Nothobranchius furzeri: one gene and its partner. The protein of the gene in region 1 purifies or fractionates together with the protein of each later gene. This does not show direct contact. Links are inferred from orthologs where the notes say so. Each region holds a gene or a part of one and is shown in the gene's direction. Other genes may lie near its edges.

Region 1 (4,428 bases):
AACACCAAGGAGCTGGTGACGAAGGCGCAGTAGAGGTCGTATTTTCTGAGAATCCTGAATAAGAACCACCTTCCCACAAATCTGCTGCTTGCCATCTACCGTTGTTCCGGAGAGAGTACACTGACAAACGGACTGTGTGTGTATGGAATGGCAGCTGTACTTCCTTGGAAAAGAAAGCACTCCACAGGACCATCAGCGCAGCAGAGAGAACAATTGGCTGCACCCTTCCTACTCTGAAAGACATCTACACCCCCCCGTTGCTGCAGGAGAGGAACAGACATCTCAGAGGATCCATTACAGCCCGGGCAGTGCTCCCATCTGAGAGAAGATACAGAGCCGTCTTAGGATCAGCTTCTGAATAACCAACGCAGATGGGAACACTGACCACAGGTCAGCTGCACAGAGCTTTTATAAAATATGTGCAATCTGTATATACCTGCAGACTTTTTATTCTGGTTTTATCCCTTTTTTGATTTCATTGGTTTTATGCTTGTGAGTCAACCGCACCTTCGTTTGCAGTGCACCTGGAAAAAGTGACAATGACAATAAAGATGTGTCTTATCTTATCTTATGTGCCGTAGCTGATGCAACCATAAAGTATGTTCTCTACCAGAACATCCAGAACATCTGACCATGTGACCTTTGACCTTAAACAGGCCATTCATGCTGGAAGAGCTGCCAGTGTGGCTGAATTACAACAACTCTGTAAGAGACAAACATCTCCACAGTGATGTGAAAGACTCCTCATTAGTTATCAATCAATCACTCAATAAGATTTTATGTAGAAAGCGCTTCTCAAGCAAACTGCCACTCAAAGTGCTTTACAACATGACCCCAAATTCCCATAACAGTTTATAAGCATTAACAGATATATGCACACACACACACACACACACACACACACACACACACACACACACACACACACACACACTTTTTCTTTGTTCTTGTGCTATAAATAAGTGTTCAACTGGCTATCTTTGTAAATGCATTTTTTTGTGCTCAAAGGACTTTAACAGTGCGTATTTTAGAAAATATGACATCACACAAAAACTACAAAGTGAGCAAAAATATTTTTATGCTTATTTGTGTGTCACGTTGCGAGTCAGGAGGAGGTTTGGACCCAAAATGCAGACACCCAGAACAACATGAGGCAGGAGTGGATGTAAATGAAAACATTCCTTTATTAGGAAGTAGAACAAAAAATTCCAAAAGGGCAGGAAGCCAAAAATCAATGTCCTGAAACCCTGGAGAATGAAAGCTCACATAGAGCACAAAAGCTAGAGACAAGGAACAAAACAACGCTGACAACAATGGACTGACCAAACACTGTTACACAGACAGGGTTTTATACCTTGGGGAGGATGAGAGGGAGATGAACTGCAGGTGTGTGGGGAGAGAGAGACCAGGTGAACTGAGTTACTAATCAGGGAGGAAACTAACATGACCTAAGAATAAAACCTAAAGACAAGAAGAGTAGGAAACATAATCTAAGGGGGGAGAAAAACCTCAAACACCGATGGGAAAAACACACTAAAGAGACTAATAACATGAACAGCTGTAGCTAAAGGAAAATGACCTAAGGGAAAACCCTAAAGACCAGAAGGGCAGCAAACATAACTAATATTCTAAGGGGGAAGCTGAAACTACAGGAAAACACTACAGAAAGAAAAACTACAGGGACGTGACTAAAGGGGGCCAAGGGAGCACAGGACCTGGGAGGGGGATGCCTGAGGAGGGAAACCTAGAGGGCTGAAGATCTGGGGGCAAATGGGGAAAACCAGGAGACACAAGAGGAAGACGCAGACAAGGACACATGAGGGCGCTAGGAGACACAAAAGGTGAACCTAGTGAGGGACGGAGAACACAAGGAGACACATGAGGGGAGACGCAGACGCAGACCATGACATTGTGACACTCCAAGGCTGTGACAACTTACCCACAAAAAAGATCATCTGGACATAACACACCAAAAATGATTAGATTTTTTTTTACAGTTTTCAAAGTTCTAGTTATGATAATAAACCTGGCAATAAAGGGGTTAAATCTGAGGAACACACATATTTTATTATATTTTGTTAGGGCTGAAGCCAAGGATGAAATTCAAAAAAACTGGGACGTATGAAATATTAAATACTATTTCTATGGGAAGCTTTGTAGGTGCATTTTTTTGTGCTCAAAGGACATTAACGTTAGGAAATGAAAAGAAACGGCAAGGGTTAGTGAGAACTTCCTCAGCATGAGTGAAAAACCAGTAAACATGAAGCACCTGTGCAGCATTAGCATGCAACGACAATTCTGCTGAATGAATCGGTGGCTTTACCAACTCTCAGGTTGTGTGGGATGGAGAATGAGACGGTGGAGGACATGGATGTGCTGTGGGACAGAGTGGAGTGTAAGCGCTACGAGCTGTGTCGCGTCATCACCCCAGCCAAGCTTACCCCCTACCTCCGTCAGTGCAAAGTCCTGGATGAACAGGATGAGGATGAGATTCTCAACTCCCTGCTGCTCCACACCAAAGCAAACCGCACAAGTGAGCAGAAATCTCCATTTTCCTGCATTAAAACAAGCTGTGTTAACACTGGTTTGATTTTAACTTATTTCAACTACTTCTGCCATTAAATTAAAGACAAAGTTCACTGAGAAACAGATTGAAAATAGAAAAAAAAAACTGCTCGGCTTTGAAAACCCAGGCTAATTCATGTCATACTGACTATTAGCAATCATGGACTCACCCATCATAGCTTGCGACGGGGAAGACTGTGTCGATTTCCTGCCAAGGAGAGGGCAGAGTGTGTTATGGCTAATAGAAGCTAACCGTTAGCATTAGCAACTCCACAACATGGCAGAAATCATTCAGGTTTGTGTTGTTTGTGGAGATAAAACATCAGTGTTGCAGTAAACGGAGTCGGTGGTAGCGTCAGTAGCCAATCAGAAGCGAGGTGTCAGAATATCAGGAAACAACACATCAGCGTTGCGTGTTTTAGCTCAGAAAGAAGAGCGAACAAAGGCGGTGGAAGAGTTGTACATCTGTTAGCCAATCAGAGGCGAGATGTCAGAATATCGGGATATATGTCTCCAAACCCTACCGTCGTCTGCTCACCTCTCCTCTAGCTCACTTCTACTTCCTGAAACAGGAGTGTGAGAGCTTTTCCCCACAGAGATCGATTCACGGGACGTTAATTTATACTTGAGACTGCTGCAAATGTGTTGAAAAACAAGTGAACTTGGTCTTTAACTCGATGTGTTCCTGTGCTGAATATAAAGTGCACTAATCAAACTTGCACCAGGCCGTCTACTTGACATCCTTCGCACTAAAGAAGAGCGTGGCTATGTGGCTTTCTTGGAGAGTCTGGAGTTTTACTACCCTGAGATGTACAAGGTGGTGACTGGGAAAGAGCCCACAAGATGCTTCTCCACCATCGTAGGTAAGGCCCACACACTTTTGGGTTGACAGAGCAATCTAAGAGCATGTAACAGATCAAACCAGTTGCAGCGTGTGTTGGCGGTGCCTCGCCGGTAATGGTTGGGGTCAGATTTCTAGCTTTAAGAAGTGCATTTCTCACAAACTGTGATGCACCCATGTTCTCCTTCTGTTTCCTGTTTCTTCTAATCAGTGGAGGAGGGTCAAGAGGGTCTGACCCAGTTTCTGATGAGTGAGGTGATGAAACTGCAGCAGCACACCAAAGTCAAGACCCTTCAGAACGCCGAACTCAGCAGGAAGACCCGCACGTTGGAAGACGAGCGCAAGAAGCTCTCCTTGGCTAATCAGGAGCTTCAAGCCTTCCAGCAAAGTAAGATATTTGCTTTCATTCTAGCCGTGATTCCTGACTGATGTTTTTTTCCTGGTTGGGACATTTTATTACAGTAAATGCAAGAAACAAAACAAACAACAACAACAACAAAAAAAACACCATTTCAAACCACGACCCCACCAGACAGGCCAGGCTTATCCCTCCTCATGCATCACAGTTGAGTTAAAAATAATTTTAATCACAAAATGCAACTGATGAAACTAAGATACTGTTGTGGTTATGAATCCATCCTGTTCTGTTTATCTCTGCAGACGATAAAACAACTAAGCTGTAAATAAGGAGAATGGTTTTGGCTCAGTGGACCTTTCACATAGTCGTCATGCAAATGACAAAACTGGTAATTTCTTTTAGTTGATCAAAAAACTAATTAAGGAGTTGCAGGAACTCCGAGTATCATAGAACGGGAAACAAACGTCCTCATAGGCATTGCTGATTTCCAGAATTCTCTGTTTAGTTCCTGTGGGATTAAAAATGAGACAACTCTGTAGGTGTTGGCCACCAAATTGTTACTGAAATTACTAAAAAGAGAATCTAACATTCTGAGCATGCATAAAAAGGCAAGAAAGTACAATAAATTGGGAAAACGGAAGACTTAATAAAGATGAGAGAGTTG
Region 2 (5,093 bases), on another chromosome or scaffold:
TAGTTGGCAGCAGTGTGCAATGGGTTTTGTTTCCACCACCATTGAAATGTAAATCCCTCTATTATGGTTCAGATACTTCAAGTTGAGCATGTTACGTTTCAGTTTGGACTGTTTATTGAAATTTCCAGCGATGTCAGATAGAGATAGACTATAGTGAAATTTACTTTCATGTCTAGAGAACTAAGTTATAATAAACTCAAAGGTTATCAAAAAGTGGTCCAACAGGATTGAATTGTGTGGAATTACTGTTATTTTCTCACACACCATAAGTCAGCACACGGTCTAATGCATGTTGGCAGGAGTGGGTGGAGCTATGTGTGAGTAAAACCAGTTGAGTCTAAGATATTACTAAAGGCTACATTGAGGCTATCATTTTCAATGTCCACATGAATGTTAAAATCCCCCACTACAATGACCTTATCAGTATTTAGCACCAAATCAGATATAAAAAAAAAATCTGACATCTGATCCAAAAACAGAGTTAGGGCCTGGCGGACAATATAAAACTACAAACAAAAGTAGTTTTAGAGTTTTGTAATCTGGATTAGGAAAACTAAGAATATGATGTTTAAAAGAACTGTAACTATTAATTGGTAAAAGGTTGATTAATAGGTCCGAATGAAAAATGGTTGCTACTTCTCCTCGCCCTGTACTTTGAGCAATGAGACGATTTAAATAATTAGACTCATTTATACTAAAAGTCGTCTTGCTGCAGCCAGGATTCTGAGAGAGAGAGCAAAGTGATCTGATTATCACAACTCAAGTCATTCACTAACAAAGTCTTTGAAAAAACAGATCTACTGTTCAATAAACCACATTTAAATTTTCTAGTTTTCTGCTCAGTCGAATTTGTTCTAATTTTTTAGATTCCCACGATTTGCTCTATTAAGCCTGATTTTTCATCTGTTTGATTGTGGGTGGGTAACAGCATAGATGTGTTTATATACATATCTATGGGTAACAGTAACAGAAGCTGCAGAGGGGTGTGTTAAACTACGTCCTGGTCTGGATCCTGGACTAATAAAATTGGCCATGTTCCTAGACAGAAGAGCTGCTCCATCCAAAGAGGGGTGGATGCCGTCTCTTCCATTAAAGTGTTTATTTCTTCACATCCTGAACATCTCTGATCGAGTGGGAGAGGTGTTGTGTTAAACAGCAGGTAGAGAATGCACCGTGTGAGCTTCATGCAGCCAAAGAGTTCACAAGAAACAAGATAGCTCTAGTACAAGATAGTCCTCTTCTAGACAAATTAAAAGCATTTTTACAATTCTTAAGTATTTATACTATGTTTTGTAAGAACTTTTCTAACATTATGTCTGACACAATAACGTAAAAGTATGAAATTTGTAAAAATTGGATTTTCGTTCAAATTTAAAACCTTTACTTTTTGCTATTTATCATATTTTGCTAGCTAGCATTAGCAGCTAACAAAGATGCGTCGCCCTGCTTTTCTCAAACTAACAAATATTGTGGCTAGTACACATGAGAACACATGTAGAAATTTGGGAAAATGCCCTTTGTACTGAAAAACGCTGTAAAAACGTTTAAAATAAGGTGCAGTTGGCTAAAATTCACATCAACCTGTCGACATAATGCTACAACTATCTTGTCCGAAACAACCTTCAGCTGGCAAGGGGAAATCCAACACGGGCGTGCTTTGCTCACTCGTACGTCTTCCAGGAAGTTCAAACCTGATGTGTAACTTTATTCATGTTTTTCTTCGTTTATTGATCGAGGCTTGACTGCAGTGAAGTGTAGCTCCGGTGTGTACAGCTCTGTAGCTGGCTGCCATGGCGGACTCCCTGGACAGGTCCACGAAGATCAGCTCACTGAAAGAGTCGGTGGTGAAGAAACTTTGTGAGGTTTTGGATAAATCAAACAATAACGGATGGCGAAAGTTAGGAGAGATTGTTGGCAGTGACAAAAGATTTAAAGTAAGGTAGGTTGATTCAGTTGTTAGGATCTCTTCAAGAGACTGAAGTTATTAGGTTATTATAAATTAATTCAGTTAAAAGGTATTAATGTTTACTGGATAGAGGCGATGAGCCTAATTATCAGCTGTTTCTTAAATAAATGTTTAGGGTGTGTACTTTAGTGTTTTGCAGCAGTTTTTTGCCATACATGAGTGTGCATTTGAACTAAAATTGGGTATTCTATTAGAAAATACACGTTTTTTTTAATTAAAAAGTGTTTTTATTCCAAATTCCACCTAAACTAATCGTTTTGTGTTTTTGAAATTAGTTTTATTAGAACTAATCCGTTTAACAGTCAGTGTGACACATCATTAAGATTGTGCATCTTTTCCTGCATCATCCTCCAGCTCGGACGACATGGAGATGTGTTCTCTCAGGGTTCTGGAGGTGGAAGGAAGCCCAAGCCTGATGCTGCTGAGGCTGATGGGAGAGCGAGGATGCACCACGGGTCACCTGATGGACTACCTCCAAACTCTGAGCAACTCAGAGGCTCTGCAGTGCCTGAAGCCACCAGGTACAGGAAACCCCACACCAGCCTAATATCAAGCTTTTAGGTTATTTGACTTCTACATGGCTCATGGTTTGTCCCACCAACACGCCACACATGTTTATAAAAGGTGCCGCTCTGTAGAGCGATGTTCAGTTTAGGTTTTTCTAACTGCATATATTCTTAAACGAGGTGATCTTTCTGGGATGGAAAATGCAGCAACACATGAAAGTATTGTGAGAAAAACAAGCAGGATGCTCTATAATCAAACGTTTGTTTCAACCTTTTACAGTACTGCAGATCCTCGTTCAGCCTCAGTCTGTTGCTCTCATATGTGGCCATAATCTGCGCCTGAGCTGCTACGCCGTGGGAAGATCTCCACTTCAGTACCGGTGGTTTAAATCAAGAGAAGAGGTGAGTGTTTTTGGAAAGAACACAAACAACAATCTTCAGACTCAAACTGGGAGAATGTCATGAGCGTCAGCTGATGATCGGCTGCCCTGAAACACACGCCGTGCATTTCTAGAGCAAAACTGTTTTTTATATGGTGTTGCAGGACAAGTCTAATTTAGGGTTTTCAATAGGAGTAATACAGAAATACACTGTTTGCATGCTAGGATATCCTGGGAAACCTGTGCTGCATTTTCTGGAATGATGGTGACAAGATGTCATTCTCATGTGCAGAGCTTTAAGATGGTTGGGTGATTCTACAAAATGTACATTTTTTGGTTATTTAGGAGGAAAACTTTTCATCTGAGAGCTTCTTAAACAAAGACAGCTGGTAGGGAAACAGAAACATGCTGCAGATTGTTTGGAGCCTCTTCTAAATGAATATTTGTCCGTTGCTGCATGAAAACAAATGGATAAAAAAAAAAAATAATAATAATAGCTACGTCTGACTAGCTTTTTCATAAGTTTGTCATATGTTGCTAGATGCATCAGATTAATAACTAATATCTGATCTACAGTTGATGCTTGCACCATAAAAACTGTATTTGTTTAGATCAGCCATGTCCAAAGTGTGGCCCGGGGGCCGTCTGCGGCCCTCTGATTGATTTTGTTCTCTGGAATTTTGACTCCAGCAGGCTGCTGACGAAGGTCGACATTTTTAACATTTTTAATTATAAACAAAATCACATATTTATGGCCCTCAGAGACTTTTAACTTGATCATTTTAGCCCTTTTCTTTAAGAGTTTTGACACCCTGTATCCTCTTTATGCTGCGTTTCTGGTCTTTTTCTTTCAAACATTATTATCTTTTTACATTTTCTTAAACATTTTATCTGCAGCTTTTACCACCAAACACACATTCCCATAACTGTGCCGTCTCATCAGCTTTTAAGAGAAACACAAACAGTAAACCTGTCTGGACTTGGGATGCCCGTCTTCTGCAGCTTTAGGACAAATCCATGCGTGCTTGTCTGAGGCAGGAGCTTTTCCTTTCACTTTCCCCTCTTCCTTTACCGAGACCATGCCAGTAATTAGTTTAGATTAGGATTAAGCTGCACGATAATCTGGTGGCTTTTCTCCTTGTCAGATTGTTTTTGTCTGCAGTTGCTGTGGTGAGAAAATGACTCAGTTTGATATAAACTTTAAAAAAGATTTTCTGCTCAATAATTTGATTAAAGTGTGTCGTGTGAAGAGAACCAGGAAGTCAGGCACACCGGAGCAGGGCAACGGCATTCCAGAAAAAGGGCCTGGAAGCAGACGGCTTCTCACCCTCACCAACATCGTTTTCTTCATGCTGCTCATAATAATAAATAAGTGAACTTTACATTTGCTCTGTTTACAAAAATCAATCTTTTCCATAGGTTAGACTTTCTTGTAGTATTTCAAAAGTGGTTATCAGCCGTTCTTCAGGGTTTTAGAGCCTATTTGAATATTTCTCTTTAGACTTTTGGCTACATTCATGCACCTCGTGACTTTAATCTTGAGAGGTGTTTACATGAAAAGTAGTTTCTTCTTCTTTCTACGTGTTGTGCCTTAAAGGTGAGGAGAGTGGAGGTGTAAAAACGTTGCCTACTGCAGAACAACGTCATGTTTCTAAAAGTTTCAGCAAATCCAGACACAACCTGAGGAACACGTTTATAAAGACTTCGGACACGTTCTGAATATCTGTGTAAACTACATGTTAGGTACTAACATTCATTTTTGAATGTGAAAGTGTGTTACATCATATTTGTATAGCTTCAACTAAAGAAACGGGACCAGATGGTGTCCTTGTGGCTCGTTACTACAAGATGTTCTCAGGATTGATGACGAGCGTAAAATCCCACTTTAAGAAACTTCCAAACGGGAAGTGAAAATAAAAGAGAGTAAAACAGTGTGTGTGTGTGTGCGTGCGTGCGTGTGTGTGTGCGTGTGTGTGCGTGTGGGTGTGCGTGCGTGCGTGCGTGCGTGTGTGTGTGCGTGTGTGTGCGTGTGTGTGCGTGTGGGTGTGCGTGTGTGTGCGTGCGTGCGTGTGCGTGTGTGTGTGTGTGTGTGGGTGTGCGTGTGCGTGCGTGCGTGCTTGTGCGTGTGTGTGTGTGTGTGGCGGCTGGGTTGATGCTAAACTACTTCCCAACATGAAACCATTTCTTATTCCCAGGTCCCACATGGCGCTACTCCAGAACTGTTGATAAGTCCCGTCCGGC

Evidence for each region. The genes of interacting proteins can lie anywhere in the genome.
Region 2: the proteins of card11 (region 1) and malt1 purify together in Homo sapiens (affinity purification with western blotting; 6 studies listed by BioGRID and IntAct, with this or other methods). This does not show direct contact. The link is inferred for Nothobranchius furzeri from reciprocal best matches to the Homo sapiens genes CARD11 and MALT1.

The regions. Positions count from the first base shown.
Region 1 is NC_091752.1:65,221,929-65,226,356, reverse strand, and holds part of card11 (caspase recruitment domain-containing protein 11), read left to right. Parts: intron 1-301; exon of another isoform or gene 302-390; intron 391-2,150; exon of another isoform or gene 2,151-2,333; 5' UTR 2,334-2,343; coding exon 2,344-2,533; intron 2,534-3,290; coding exon 3,291-3,428; intron 3,429-3,617; coding exon 3,618-3,794; intron 3,795-4,428. UniProt on the Homo sapiens protein: Adapter protein that plays a key role in adaptive immune response by transducing the activation of NF-kappa-B downstream of T-cell receptor (TCR) and B-cell receptor (BCR) engagement.
Region 2 is NC_091757.1:57,799,830-57,804,922, reverse strand, and holds the start of malt1 (mucosa-associated lymphoid tissue lymphoma translocation protein 1), read left to right. Parts: upstream 1-1,653; 5' UTR 1,654-1,790; coding exon 1,791-1,939; intron 1,940-2,320; coding exon 2,321-2,487; intron 2,488-2,752; coding exon 2,753-2,874; intron 2,875-3,932; exon of another isoform or gene 3,933-4,022; intron 4,023-4,102; exon of another isoform or gene 4,103-4,234; intron 4,235-5,047; coding exon 5,048-5,093. UniProt on the Homo sapiens protein: Protease that enhances BCL10-induced activation: acts via formation of CBM complexes that channel adaptive and innate immune signaling downstream of CARD domain-containing proteins (CARD9, CARD11 and CARD14) to activate NF-kappa-B and MAP kinase p38 pathways which stimulate expression of genes encoding pro-inflammatory cytokines and chemokines.